2 linked regions of the Tamandua tetradactyla genome follow. The protein of the gene in region 2 interacts with the protein of the main gene of each other region in a pairwise test. Links are inferred from orthologs where the notes say so. Each region holds a gene or a part of one and is shown on either strand. Other genes may lie near its edges.

The links. The genes of interacting proteins can lie anywhere in the genome.
Region 1: the proteins of BAG6 (region 2) and SPP1 interact in binary tests that used the Homo sapiens proteins (3 or more experiments, as listed by UniProt). The link is inferred for Tamandua tetradactyla from reciprocal best matches to the Homo sapiens genes BAG6 and SPP1.

Annotation. Positions count from the first base shown.
Region 1 is NC_135350.1:38,798,017-38,805,204, forward strand, and holds the start of SPP1 (osteopontin), read right to left. Parts: upstream 3,113-7,188; 5' UTR 2,976-3,112; intron 2,042-2,975; 5' UTR 2,028-2,041; coding exon 1,974-2,027; intron 1,862-1,973; coding exon 1,820-1,861; intron 1-1,819. UniProt on the Homo sapiens protein: Major non-collagenous bone protein that binds tightly to hydroxyapatite. Appears to form an integral part of the mineralized matrix. Probably important to cell-matrix interaction.
Region 2 is NC_135331.1:87,239,863-87,247,660, forward strand, and holds the start of BAG6 (large proline-rich protein BAG6), read right to left. Parts: upstream 3,125-7,798; 5' UTR 3,016-3,124; coding exon 3,013-3,015; intron 2,990-3,012; exon of another isoform or gene 2,859-2,989; intron 2,757-2,858; exon of another isoform or gene 2,753-2,756; coding exon 2,636-2,752; intron 1,578-2,635; coding exon 1,460-1,577; intron 1,346-1,459; coding exon 1,146-1,345; intron 902-1,145; coding exon 848-901; intron 686-847; coding exon 611-685; intron 30-610; coding exon 1-29. Other genes in the region: APOM (apolipoprotein M), read left to right, coding at 5,905-6,018, 6,337-6,491, 6,769-6,842, 6,935-7,033, 7,203-7,363. UniProt on the Homo sapiens protein: ATP-independent molecular chaperone preventing the aggregation of misfolded and hydrophobic patches-containing proteins.

The DNA of each region.
Region 1 (7,188 bases), on a different chromosome or scaffold from region 2:
ATCATTGATTCCTCTTCATAGAACAAGGAGAAATCTTTAAGGTTTTGCTTTTTAATATGGTATCCACTAGCTGCATGTGGCTATTCAAATTTAAATTAATAAAAATTAAATATCCAGTTCATCAGTTGCACCAGTCACAATTTTCAGTACTCAGTAGCTACATGTCTAGTAGCTATCTTTTATCTGACAGTGCAGATATAGAAAAGTGAAATTACAGAAAATTCTATTTTTCTAAGTTGCCAAAGATGTAAATCAAATAACATTTTCTTTAGCCAAATTATTTATCTGGAACACAATTGTAATATGGTAGTGAAGAGGAGTGGGAATTGTTATGAGTAAGTGTCATCTGATAGGCTGTATCACCCAGAGCAGATTGTTTCATATCATTTGAGAATAACAGCCTTGGGGGTCCCGCAGAGTCCCTTTATCAGACACTTGAGGGAATATGTATGGGAAAGGCACCAATCAATGGCATTTTGGTTTTCTGATATGACTGGCTCCAATTAATAGATGTGCAAACCACTGGAGTAGATGAGCTCAGAGTTTCCCTTTATATTTTTTATTTTTTTTGATGACTCAAGCTCAGAGATGATACATACTCAGAGAGAAGGTATTTATAAATTACATTTATAATTTTTAAAAAGTAATACAAAAGCAAAATGGACTGACCAACCCAGTAATCATTTTTATCTTTACCTTGTAAAGTATAAGTATATCCTTATAGATTTCTCCATAATTCCTATTAGTTCTAAATTTCTGGAATTCTGAAAGGTTGAGACGAGCTTATTCAATTATTTTCTAAATATTATTTAGTAACTTATACTGTCATGTTTTTATGTACCTTTTAAAAATACATCCTTGCCATATTTTATTCTATTAAAAAGGCACTAATTCTTGCAGCAAATAATACGACCTCATCTTCTCTGGAAATGCTATTTTTTTCCTGGTTTATTATTGCGAGTCAACACTTGTCTTCTCAAATCAATCGGAAAACAGACACACACATGCACCCATGCTCAGCACAAACGCAGGTGCACATGCAGACACACAGCAATGCTTCTCTGAATATCTTTACCAAGTAATTTAATTGCAGTGATCCCAGGCAACTCTGTACTGGCCTTTATTCTGTTCTTCTGGAAGTGTACTTTGTGTGGCTTTTTGTCTAAACTCTTGGGACAATGCCTGTTTGTTGTTTGGCTGGCACAGTTTCACATATTGCAGAGGGGCAGGTACATCTAGGGTGCTGGTCAAATCAGTATAATAGAGAATTTGATTTGGTCTTGTGTTTGACTAGGAAAATGTGATCCAAAGTCAGCTGGCAAGCACCACTGATACCAACAGCATAAAACAGACTTTCTTTTGACAATGGGCTTCTTAGCAAATATCTTAGGAGATATTGTGAGCACTATGGCCTTACAACAAGTCTTGACCAATATCTGAGAAGAATTTTTAATTTAGCCTTCCACTAAGTAATGCAAAGAATGGAATTTTCTCCTTCTAGAACATTATGTTGACTCGTGGGAAGAAAACAGTCATGCAATTTCATGGAACTCATTTTACAGAAGTGATAATGGCCGTAGAACATTTTTTTGCTACATTGAAAATTTAGTTTGGTTTTAAGATCATACATTTATTAAAAATTATAAATGTACTAATTAAAAATTAGTACTGCTCTAGATTCATAGCAAGCAGGCAATAAATACTTAACAAATTAACAGTCTTGATTTTGATAATAAGTAAAATTGGAACAAATATGTTTATAAAACCTCTTACAGTAATTGCATAGATAAACTAAATGATAAACTTAAAAGGTACGTACATATTTTTCCTCAGAGCTGACAGAATCAACCTTGTGTTTGACCTTGAAACAGAAATAAAAAGAAGAACGATGAGGATGATAAAATGTTTCTAGCACATGGAACTGCATAATTCTTTCATTTTCAAGAATTTCCTTCAGATTGAGCTATACTCACTGGAAGGGCATAGGTGATGCCTAGGAGGCAAAAGCAAATCACTGCAATTCTCATGGTGGTGATTTTTCCTGCAAAATATTTTGTGAGGAGCATATGACATCTTTGTAGGTTAAATCAATGATACTTATTTATGCTATCACATTTCAAAATAATCACTTCTTAGCAAAACCGTTTCTTTTTAATGCTATGGCATTTTGAGTTAATATTTATAATGTTACCTCTCTTCTCCATCTCTCACTATTCAGCAAGGGAGAGAGGGATTTCACAAGTTTATATTCACTTAACTTTTAAATTGAGAATTCCAAAGATTGTACCAGTTTTCCAGCATGCATTTCAAATGTAGTTTTTAACTTAAATTGCTGAAAAGGTGCTATTTAGGTGAACTGAACTTATCTTTAAAGTTAGTTACTTAAGTAGGACATTCTAGAAATTTGAAATTAAAAAGAAAACATTGAGAACAGTCAACAGCTTTTCTATTTCGTAATAATGAGTCTCCATAGTATCATATAAGTGTCTTTGTGAAAAATTAACAGGAAAATACAGATGTAAAACATTCAGAAAGGCACTCTTCCCCTTGAAATTGGACTAAATGAAATAATAAAATTAGTATTAAATTGTGTGACATTAGTACTAAATGTCCTTTTCCTTTTAAATGCTTCTACAACCATCTATCCATTAAAATGATACAGGTATAATAATTCCAAAGGGCACAGAATTTAGCTTCTTGGGGTTTGTTTTCCTATTTGAAGCAGAGGTTTCAGTTCTTTCTGAGGACCTGGTAGAAGTATTTTTGTTTTATTTTTGACCGGTTTTCAAAAATAGTTGGTCACCTTTCCTCCAGGAGATCTGCACTGTATCGGGCATACTTATTCCAATGACTAGAATAATTTGTCTGTCTTGCAGCAGCCTGATTAAACTATTTTCCTTGCTACTTGAATTTCCCCCATGCAATTAAACAGAATGTTTTACAGTACTGCAAAGTGATGCAGCCTGCAGGCTTACCTCGGTGGGTGTCTGGCTGAGAAGGCTGCAACGCGTCAGAGAAGAGTTCAGTCTGGATGAGTCTGTGCTCTCCTGCCTCCTCTGTCTGCTGCTGACGACCAGAACCTCCCCGAATTTAAATGCTGCTCCAGACATTCTCCACCAGCTCAGGGAGGCGGAGAGATGTGTCATGAGGTTTTTTTGCCACTGCCCAGCCCACAAGCTCCCACACTTCCCTTCTGGTTTTGTGGCTTAACAAAACAAAACAAACAAGAAACAAGCACAGATTCCTCTACAGTTAAAATGTTACTTATGAACAATATCATTAACCAGCTTTTTCATTTCTGAGGTTGGCATTAATCATTATGGAAGTACACGTAGGGGATCCCATAAAAAGGGGTGAGGGAGTAACCATCATCAAGATTTTACGCATAGTTTCTGAATTAATAGAAAAATATTAATATATATCAACCTTAAATGAAATGAAATAGTATGTATTTTTTTGTTTCTTTCCGTTTAAGTAACAGCCAAATTTGTCTCCATGATTAGACATACTGAAGAGCTGAAAAGATATTGCTGTACAGCATATGAAGAGTTCAGTTAGCCTCCCTCCATACTAAACTACTAAAGCTTAGTTTTGTATTCAAAGATGCAGCAGCTCATTGACTTAGACAAATGGCATTAGTGATATTAAAAATTTATGTTCATGCCCGTTAAGTCGGATTTACAGTCATGTTTCAAGGACACAGATTTTTGTTGCACTGATGAGGATGCGTGAGCTGTTAGGAGGTGATGAATCTGATAACTTGCTATATATAAAATAGAAGAATCATTATTTACTCTAGATGTTGCTGTAGTAAAGCAGTTTAAGACTGAAAACAGGGTGAATGCTTGAAGAGGGCTGGTTCAGGAGCAAGGGAGTGGGCTTTGAATCCCGTCCTGCCTCTAGTTAGCTGTGGAGGAATCTTGGGCAAAATACTTGACCTACCTTTGCCTGTCTCCTCATCTGTAAAATGGACATACTATTACTTAGCTTATAAGGATTTTGAGAAGCTTAAATGATTGAAAAATTAAAAGTATCAATGCCAGACAGAAATTATATGCAAGTGCTTGGCACGTATATGCAAATGTGTGGTTTATATTAAGCCCTGTGTGAGTGTTAACTATTACTGTAATTTTTAGAAAAGAGTTAGTCATGATTTGTAATATCTTTAGATGGAGTAGATTATTAGAAGTTTGTTATTAGTTATTAGGTCTTTAAGTTGTGTCTGGAAATAGGGTAATTTGCCCACCACTGAAAGGTTGATTAGATTTCTATATCATCTTTTTATATATGCATCTATGGTTGGTTGCTTAGAAAAGGAAAAAAAAACCCAAATATCTCTATACTTAAAAAGTTTTACTGGATACGTAAAGGTATTTAAAGAAAATTACAGATGATGCTTGAATAATGGAGCAGAAATCAGGGATAGTAGAGCTCTGAGCTCGTTTTAAATATTTCATATTGTCTTGACATTAACTTAATCTTTTTACCTACCTTTCCCAGTTGTGAAATTTGTTTTTACTATTCATTTACCTCACACTTTCATTGTAATCATTGCAGATGAAAGTGAGATTAAAAGATAAATGGTGCTATTTATTATAAGTTCTTAAGTGTCAGCTCCTATTTGCCAAATATTGCTTTTAAAATAAATCTAGATTTAAACAATTTCCTGCTATGTTAGTAAAAACAGTAACTAGATTTTATGAACATTTCATGAGGGAAACTGGGTCTCTTTTAAATTGGATGTATTCAAAATGAATTGGTATTGTTGATTTGTGGGTTATATGCGCACATTTTAATAATTCAGATTGTGCCTCTCTGAAATATAAACGCACATGGATATAAAATTGCAAAACAGTTGCCTTGTTTCTGTCTTCAACAACTTTTTTTCTTAAACACATTACCCACGGGATGTTTGTCATGTTGTCAGTTTAGCGGGGGCAAGTCCACAGATTCTAAAAACAACTAGCTGTCCCCACAGGACTCACTATAGTTTATTTTGTGCCCACGGGAATGATTTAATATGAACTTAGGGAGTTGAGTTATAGGAATAGATTTTGTTGGAACTCAACCATCTTGAGATGAACCATATGACCCTTTCCAGGACTTTTCTGGTCATAATGGCTCCAACGTGCCACACGATGGCAGTGTTTCGGAAAAGAATCTCAGACCACAATCTGGCTCTATCAGTTTTCTTATTCCGGCAGAATAGAACATCCACTACTATTTAAGACAAAACTATAAAACAGCTGTGAGTCCTCCCTTTCTTGAATGCCAGGTGAGGAAATATTTCCCAACAATGACCCACCATGCGGTAACTGGGAATACAGCGACCAAGAAAACCAAAACATTTTTGTTCTGCTCTGGTCTTGCCTTCAGCAACTCCAGGTTGATGCTGTTGTCTCCTTTCCCACTTCCCACATTCACTCAAAACGTTATTCTCACTCAGAATAAAGCCTTATGAATGCATGTTTAAAGAATACGTCTGGGATGCTGCAGAGTTGAAAAGGCTCTTCTGTAAAGTATTAAATGGATACTTGTGTCATTCTGACTGCAAGAGGCTCATGTTTCTTGGGTTTTGTAATCAAACCTGCTGACACTTAGTCTTTTGTGAGTAAGATTTTCCAACTGTCAGAATTAACACATTAAATGAACTAAGTCAGAGACACTTGCTCTGTAGTATTTCCACACTATTTCCATACTTGATTAGACTAGTGGTTGTTAGAATCGAAAGGTCAAAATGCCTGAATTCCTTGTAAATCTTTTGCTACGTGGAAAGGAAAAAGTTTTCTTGTTACACCAGAATGCAAAGAGTGGTTCATTATCTTAAAATATTAAGGGGATACATGGAAACATATAAACAACATTATATATTTTTTCCTCATTACATGAAGATTCCCATTTTAATAGGAAACATTAAGTACCTAGATGTCCATTTTAGGTGGATAACTTTACTGGCTTCAAACTTACTTTGACTAGCCTAATTACACTTTATGTAGTAAGGTATTGCCATCTATTTCAATTTTTTCAGCTCTGCAAATAATTATTTTTTTGCCCTGAATGTTCAGATTCAGACAATGAATCTAATTCAAATGCTTATCTTGAGAACATCACTAATCTGTCCTAGCAAACTTGGGAATTAGAACTAAGTATAATCAGAAGTCCAGCACAATATTCATCATTTGTAGTCTTGGTAAGGATGAATTAGGTTCTGGCATGAAATTTGAATATTTCAGTAATTACAAATAAAAAAGACACACCATAATGCCCTTTATCCTGTGGCTCAATGACCTAGACAACAAAATCTAGCTCCTGAAAAGCAGGGTTTTGGTAAACATTAGTTTTACTTAAAGCAAATTATAACATTTTCTCTTTGGATCCATGGAATTGTTATAGAGTAAATTTTACACTCAGTATATTATCAGTGATTAAGCACTCAGCCCTTCATCCATAAGAACTAATTCTTGTATGGGCACTGTGATTGAATCCATAGTATATATATATCTCATATGCTGATGTTTAATATTTACCAGTGCTCAAGAATCTTGTAGAATTTCTTTATTAAATTATTACCACCATCTCTGCGGGCATTCCACACTCTTTAATTTATAGACTCTTAGAGTGGATATAGATCATTAACTATTTTCTTTTCTTAAAATGGCACCATCCTTAGCCCAATGGAGCCCATTTATTCAGGAAAACTAACTAAAGAATATGATCCCATGCAACTACTGAGGTTAGGAGGTGTGATTAAACAATAAATTCAGGGAGGCTATGGACAGAGAAGGCAGATGGTAGAGGCCCTATGCCTACATTGGGGTTGAGGAGATGTGTCTTCTGGGATTGAGCACAAACAGAAAAACTCTGTTCCCACCTAACATCAATTACATTGGCATAGAATTTTGGCACAGAATCCCTGCAGCAACACGGGGAACAATAGGAGTCTGTAATAAAAAGGACCCAGAGAGGGAGGTAGAAAGCTGCAGAGGTACAAATAAAAGTCTAGCAGCTGTAGGACTGTGTGGGTGCAGATATGTGTATTTCTCAGCAATAAGCAATCAGCAATAGGCATTTTGCAGATCGTATTTGAGAGGAGACAAGCCTTCTTTGAATTCCATTTATGAGAATTCTTATTGAAAATATGGTAGTGAAGTAGTTTTCAGAAGAAGATAAGAATCCATCACAATATAA
Region 2 (7,798 bases):
CTCTGCTGTGCTTGGGGGCCCCCTCGACACTGAAGGTGGGGAACAGTAAAGACACCAAAGGCAGGATGAGACTGCTGCAAAAGACTACTCAGGTCCAAGGAGACTGAGTGGAGAATGTGCTCTACCTTCAGGAAGGCAGAGCTTTGTGTTTGTATCTTTGACTTCCTAGGAACTAGTACAATACATAGTATGAGACTTAAATAAATTAGGTACATAATAAATACCTGTAACATCTACAAATAAATTACTGACAAAAAGTAGAGACTGTGGTTTCCTAACCTTTACGAGCAGACAGAGAAGACAACAGGTTGCAGCCTACAACACAAACTAATGAGGTTAGGATATCTCAATGCTAAATATGTTAACTAAGAAATTAAACAAAAAACAACTGAATCCTTTAAAATTTTTAATTGAAAGGAGATGCCATGAGAGTTATCTGACAAGTCTGAAACAAACTTCTTAAATACAGGCACCAAGAGGACTGGGAGGGATGAGATAGTCTCACAAGGATATTTTTTCTACCCCAAAGAATGAAGATTGCAGAGAAGAATCCTGTGGATGTGACCACTCATGACCCCAGTCCTGGGGCTGGTTGGCCTTACCCACTCACCTCCATGCGGGAGAGTAAGGTCTGTATATCTCTTATCATGTGCTGAGCCATCACTAGCCGGACCCGGGGCTCGCTCTATGAAGAGAGGAGAGATGATCAGGGCAGGTTTGAGATGTACCCATGTGTTCCAGCACCTACTATAGCAGGACCCAGCTATCTCCTCAGCCAGACCCAACCCCACCTCAAGGCCTCCTTCTCCCAGATCCCCTTCCCTGACCCTCCCAGGCCCTGTGATACCTGAATTGGGGCCTGTTCCATGTTGATGTGAACATCCACAGCAGAGCCGTCACTCTGAGGAAAGGGTAAGGGAAGTTGCTCTGGGAGAAGCCAAAGACTAAGGCCCGCATACCTCCAAATCATTCTCTGGAGTTCCATCCTTTTTTGTCTCTCAAAGATCAAACCCAATGTCAGACCACAGGGCTTTCCAAATTCACACTAAAACCTGAGACACCTGTCTCAGGAGTGCCCTGCTGCTACCACAACCGCATCTACCGTTCCCTACAAAAAAAACCTCCCATGTGGAACACAAGCTTACAGGAAGATTGAAGGTTCCAACCATGACATAGCTGTTGGCGTTCCGGTCATGAACAGAGGCCCCAGGAACTCGAGTACCAGGTGGGGGACCCCCACCATGGGTGGCTGAAGGAGACCCTGTTCCAGAAGATGCTCCAGAAGAAGGGAGCTGAGTCTGAGGAGGAGCCCGTTCCACCAAGTGGATAACCTTTCCCCCAACATCTACAGGAAAGAAAAATCACACCAAGACATCGTATGATTAGGTAAACCCACAGACTCAGCCCATCCCGCCACACAGCAGCTTTAACCTCTGACTGGCCCCTCCCATACTCTTACTGTATTCTTGGAGCTTTTTATCATCCTGCAAAACTCGACCCTGGTAAATGAGCCGTTGTTTCTCAGAGGGGATGCTGACAGAGGCAGCAATGTGCTCCTTAAACTCTTTTACATTCATCTGCAAGGAGAAGAGACAAGGATAGGAATCAGGGAATGTAGGAAGAACACAAGAGAAACAGCTGCCTTAGAGTGAGAGGTAAAAACCATCATAAAAATCACTACCCATTTATTTCGATTGTGAAACCCTAAGCTGAAAACATACCTGCCAAAACAGACAATAAAGTCAGTTAAACTCAGGTTATAAGCCCAGATGAGAATTACATGGCTGAGAAATAGAAAAGCCAACTTGCATTCCTTCCACTTCTCTGGCTCCCAAGGGAATGTGTGTCTAGAGATACCAGTAACCCCTCCGCAAACAAAAATGATTAACCACAGACTATTTCATAATCTCAAAGATAAAACCAATGACAAGGAAGATGGGGGTAGGGGGGATCAGGTTAAGAGGGGAAAACTCAACCAAAGAGGAGGTTAGAAATGGAGTAAAAAGGAAAACACTTTTCCTAAACAACTTGGGAAGTACCAGGGTGTTTACACACATTGCATCAGAAAGTCTAAATGGCTTTCTTAAACACTGCATGTAATATCAGGTTTAAAAAAAAACACACCAACTCATTCAAGATTTTTGTCTCCAAATATTACAAGAGTAAAGTACAGCTGTGTCCATAGCATTAAACTTGAGATTAAATTATGCCACAAACAGTCATAATTCCTACTCAACTGCTTATTAAAGCACTATCCACATAATGGGCTCTAATTTCCAGTCTTAAAAATAGAGTTTAGGCCTGACAGTTTTTTTTTTCAAAACACACTTGTGCTTTGGGTCTGCATGTTTTGTTTCCCCTTTGCACTGAGGGCCAGCTGCAATGGCCTACAGAGTCCTCCTTCCTTTCTATTTCCCTCTGTACTGAGATCTACAGATGAAGAGAAAGACAAAACAAAATCTGTCTCAGGAACAGAAACATCAAAAAACAATAAAAAACGTTCTGTTCCAGAATATGAACAAAGAAATCAACAACAAAAAAAACCTGAGGACAAGAAAATCAGACTCTTCCCTCAGGCTAAGAGCCTACAAAATGAAGAAGTAATCAATGTCTTCCACAAGTGTTAGGATCTCACCTGGGCCCCCACAATAAAGGTCCGAGTCTGAGAGTCTAGGGTCTTCACCAACACCTCCAGGCTGTCAGGTTCCTCCATAGCGGCACTGGTACTATCACTGCGCTCCATGGCCGACAGCTATCTAGGGAAGAATGGGGGGAAGAGAGGGAAGGAGGCCCGCTGTCGCCCGGACCAGATTTTATATTCCCGAAAGCCTCCCTGGCCTGAGCCCCCGTCCCAATACCTAAAAAGTTTCTCCGACAAAAGTACATGCACTCATAAGCTCCCCCATCCCCCTTCTAATTGTGGGACACAAGGAGAGAAACACAAAGGGCAAGAGAGCGACGGCCTAGGGAACTATAAGACGGGGGTGGGAGGAGCTCCACGATGCCAATCACCATAAAAGAGGGCCAGTCAGGTTAGGAAGCAGGGAAGGAAGGAGGCACGAGACCAGAAGTGTCATCACCGGTCGCAATAGAAAAAGGGCCCCAGAGGTCGGCAAACCCTGGGATAACGCGAGCAGGGTTCGGTCCAGACGCTGCGGAAAGAGTGGCTTCGCGCACGCGCGCCACGCCCATCGAACCCGCGTAAGTCACGACGGACCGAAGACCGCGGACATTCAAGAGGGACGGAACGGCTAGCTGTTTGCCCTCTTCCGCCTGCCTTTGGTGCTCCAACAGAGCGGCGCAACCAACACACAACCAACCACACGCACGTGTGTACGTACACACACACACAGACACACACAGACGCACGCACACCACCTCGCAACCCCGCCCCCTACTTCCCCCACGGTACCGTCACTTCCGGTCTCCCCCAACCTGCCACCGACGGCCACTTCCGTTTCCCCGACAGTATTAGGGGCTCGCGAGGCGGCACTTCTGGCTCCGCAAGACCCCCAAGCTTTCCTTTTGTGGGGCTCGACGAGAAATTCCAGAGCCCCAAACAGTGAATTCCTGGGGGCGAGACGGACCGGGGCCGGCCTAGATGGGAGGGAGCCGACCACCCCGAGGAGCCGCCGCCGCCGTCGCCTGGGGGACCGTACTGCGCCTGCGTGCGTTACATACGCGTGCGTACACACTTGAAGCGCCTCCCCACCCCCGGTAGCGCGGTTCGTGTTTCCTGTGCGCGCGTGAGCGCTATAAAGTTCAGGTGGCCACTATAAATGCCTGAAAATAAATTACCAGACGGGAGTCCATGACTGCCTCAAGAGATACTTTGAACAGTTGTATGAATCTTGTAGTTTGGGGACTCAGGATTATGCCTCATTAATCTATGTCAAAGTTCTGACAGGCGGAGAATTTGAGGCGGCACTGCTCTAGCCACCTAAAACTTTGCTTTCCTCTCACTGTCGCCCTAGTCGCGCTCTTTCTTCTTTCTGCATCTTCGAAAGTCACCCTTTCTGCGGGCGGTTGGGGGCAGCTTGTGGGCCGCCTGTCCCCCTGCGTCCGGTTGCGTCGTTTGGAGAGACTTCGACGCTGACCGGCGGGCGTTCGTGGGGTGCCAGCGCCATGTTCTGGCAGTGCACGACCGAGGGGACATGCCATGTTTTTCAAAAGCTGTGGGTTCTTTCAGGATGTGTCAAGAAAAGGAATGCCTCCGAATTTGGGAATTGGGAGCAAGTGAAGTCAGACTGGCCCTAAAAACGAGACTCTGGCCCTAAATTGAGGCTGTCAAGGGACTTCGGCAGGCCCGGGACAGGGCTGGGATTATCGTCCCTGTACACTCCCCACCGAACAAGGTCTTTGCCCCTACGCCGTTGCGACCCCTCCAGCCAGGCCTGTCTTTGTCCGGGTGCCAACCTGCGCTGACCAACCTTCCCAGGATTTGAAGTTTTTATATACCCACGTTCCAGTACTGTTTCAGTTAAGACTTTAATAAACATCTGTTTAGTGAGCATTTATTTTATGCCAGCCAGCATACTAAGGGTTTTACGTACTGTTGTCATAGTTAAGCTTTTTTCATCTGAGATAGTCGGGTTTATAGGTGAGTTCACTTAGACGAACATTAATTGGCAGAAAGAACTGATGATCAAATCTAGGCTTGCCAGACTCTGGGTCAAGTACTTCTACTTTGCTGCCCCAATAAATTAATGTATTTTTATTTTTTGTTATAAAATATTTCATACACACCCTAAAGTAGTAGTAGTAGTAGTATGAACCCTTATATACATCAATCATCCAGATTATTTTTTGTTTTGTTTTTAAACTAAATTTTGCAAGCTTATAGTAAGTTTCACCTCTCAGGACAAATTTGGGGGGACAGTCATGAATTATGAATAATCTATTAAGAAAGCCCCCTTTCACTGCATTAACTGTTCTGTTCCCTTGGGATTATCCAATTACTGCTTCTACACAGTTCTTCTTACCTCCTATTAAGAACTTAGTACCCATCAGAAACTAATAAGTGCAAACATTAATTACAATGAATTTTTACTTTGAATTTATGTGCAGCCTTCTACTAAGGGCTTTATGTGCATTATTTCATTTAATCCTATGAGATGGACGATTTACCCATTATACAGATAAAGAAACAAGCATAGAGATTAATAAAACTGCCCAACACCTAATAAGCAGAGTTGGGTTTGAACCCAGATTTGCCTTATACCAAAGATCTTAACACTAGATGATACAGCCTCTTACTTGGCAATAAACATTGAACAAATGCATTCACTTACATGCCAGCAAACTTTTCCAGAATGTATGTGCACTGTTTCCTCAATTATAAACAAGCTCCTATAGAAAGAAAGCCTATCACCCAGTATGTTTCACTGTCTGGATCATACCTGTTCTACAGCACTTAGGTTGTATTGTAATGATTTGTTTATATAGTCAGTTTTCCCAAGGCAGATTTCTTGAGGCCCAGGATTGTGCCTTATCTTGAAGTCCCTGGAGCTTAGCCAGTTTCTAACAAACAGCTGGGACTCAAAAGAGTTTGCTAAGTGAATGAATGAAAGACTCTCCAATGCTGCACAACACAGCAGATACAGCTCAGCTATGGGTTGACAGACCAAAGGGCTTTTACTTGGGTTCAGTTCTCATAACTCCTGAGAAACCCCAGACATATTAGGGTGTACTCTAGAATGGCTGCATATAGAGATGGGAGGAAGGTCCGAACACTAATCCTGGTTTGGGTTGGAAAACAAGGTTGAAGTTACTCATTAGCAGGTGAAAGGGTCAAGGATCAAGGCAAGGGGGCTGGAAACAGAGTGGACTGAGCAGCCAGCAGGGGAGAGAGCAGTACAGGGACCAGCCACCCCACACAGGGCACCAGCTCCCTCTTGCCTGAAGATGTTCCACCGAATTTGGGCAGCTCTGCTCTACCTCTATGGCATTCTCCTTGATTCCATGTACTACTGCCCTGAGCACAGTCAACTGACAACTCTGGGAGTGGATGGGAAAGAGGTATGGAAGAGAACACGTGAAGCCTATGGTGGAGGCCCTGGGGAATTTGGGTGGGTGGCTTAGGATGACCAGAAGCCACATGGGGAAAGGAGGGGAAGAAGATGCTGTGAGTGTTGTGATGACAAAAGCAGGGAGAAAGATTTTAGTTCTGAAGCCATAACTGTGGAGACATGGCAGAATTGGAGTGGGGGTGGGGTGGGATGGTGGCTACCCAAGTCATTGATGACTTGCTGTCATGGATCTGACCCCCATTTGCAAAGAGGAAAGCAGCCAATGCCTATCCTGACTGACAATTTGCTTTTCAAATTGTCTCTTCAGTTTCCAGAGCCCCACCTAGGTCGGTGGTACTTTATCGCAGGGGCAGCTCCCACCAGGGAGGAATTGGCGACTTTTGACCCTGTGGACAACATTGTCTTCAATATGACTACTGACTCTGCCCCAAGACACCTCCAGCTTCGTGCTACTATCCGCACGTGAGTGACGAGGAGGTAGAGGTGTCAGTGGGTGTGGTCTCTGCCCAAAGAGTAAGCACTCATCCACCAAGAGCTGGGCTCTTGGCTGGTACCTCCACTATTCTTGGCTCAGTAGTACTTATTTCCCTTTGGAAAGAGAAAGCTAGATCTAACCATTCTTTGGTAGCTTGAAATCCACAGGGATCCAAGTTTCCTTCAAGGAGGAGTAAAGGGAGGCTGGGACTATGTGGTTGGAGTGTCTCTAAGTCTGTCCTTCATGCCACCACCACCTCTGTAGGAAAAACGGGCTCTGTGTGCCCCGGAAGTGGATCTATTACCTGACTGACGGGAGCACCGATCTTAGAACTGAAGGTTGGTTCCTTCAGCCCTCACCCTCTCCATGTCCTCTGGCCTTGCTTATGCATCTCTGTCCTCATCCCCTGCCCCCCCACTCACCCTGACAGGCCGCCCTGACATGAAAACGAAGCTCTTCTCCAGCTCGTGCCCAGGAGGAATCATGTTGAAAGAGATGGGCCAGGGTTACCAGCGTTTCCTCTTCTACAGTGAGTGGGGATGCAAGGCAGGAAAGGTCAGAGGGAAACAGGAAGGCAAGAGAGCCCTTACTCTGAATCCCTTAACATCACCCCAGGAAGGGGTGACGTGCCCATGAGGTACTCACCAGGGTGATGCTGAGAAGCAGGGCCTTTGACTGTCCTGGCCCTGCCCTTCCAGATCGCTCACCACATCCTCCTGAGAAGTGTGTGGAGGAATTCCAGTTCCTGACCTCCTGCCTGGACTCCAAGGCCTTCTTACTGACTCCCAAGAATCAAGGTGAGGGGTTAAATTCCTACTGCAGAAGACTAGGACTGAGTAAGTCTGGGGATGCTGGATGAAGGAGGGCTCATGTAATGTCACCTGAGGGCATAAACAAAGGCTGATGTCATCAGAGTAGCTGGACTGACACCTCCATTTGGGTCAAAGGCTATGATGGCATCAGAAGGATTTGGTCAAGGGCTGGGGATTTAGTCAAGATGGGCTCTAACCTACTCAAAAGAGCCATTTCTGAGTTCATAGTGGGTAAAGGGAGGCCGGGGCCAGACATGGAGGGAAAATGGCACAGGGGAACAAAGGAACACATTACTACCATCAGCCTTGCTCCTCTTCATGGTCTTCCCTCCTTCCTATCCTCTTTTTTTTTTCCTCCCTCCTGCCACAGAGGCCTGCGAGCTGTCCAGCAACTGACCTCTGGCTCTCTCTGTGCCTTGAGACAGATATTGTGGGAGCTGAGATTCTGGTGGGGGGAAAAGCTGGAGACTCCCAACTTCCTT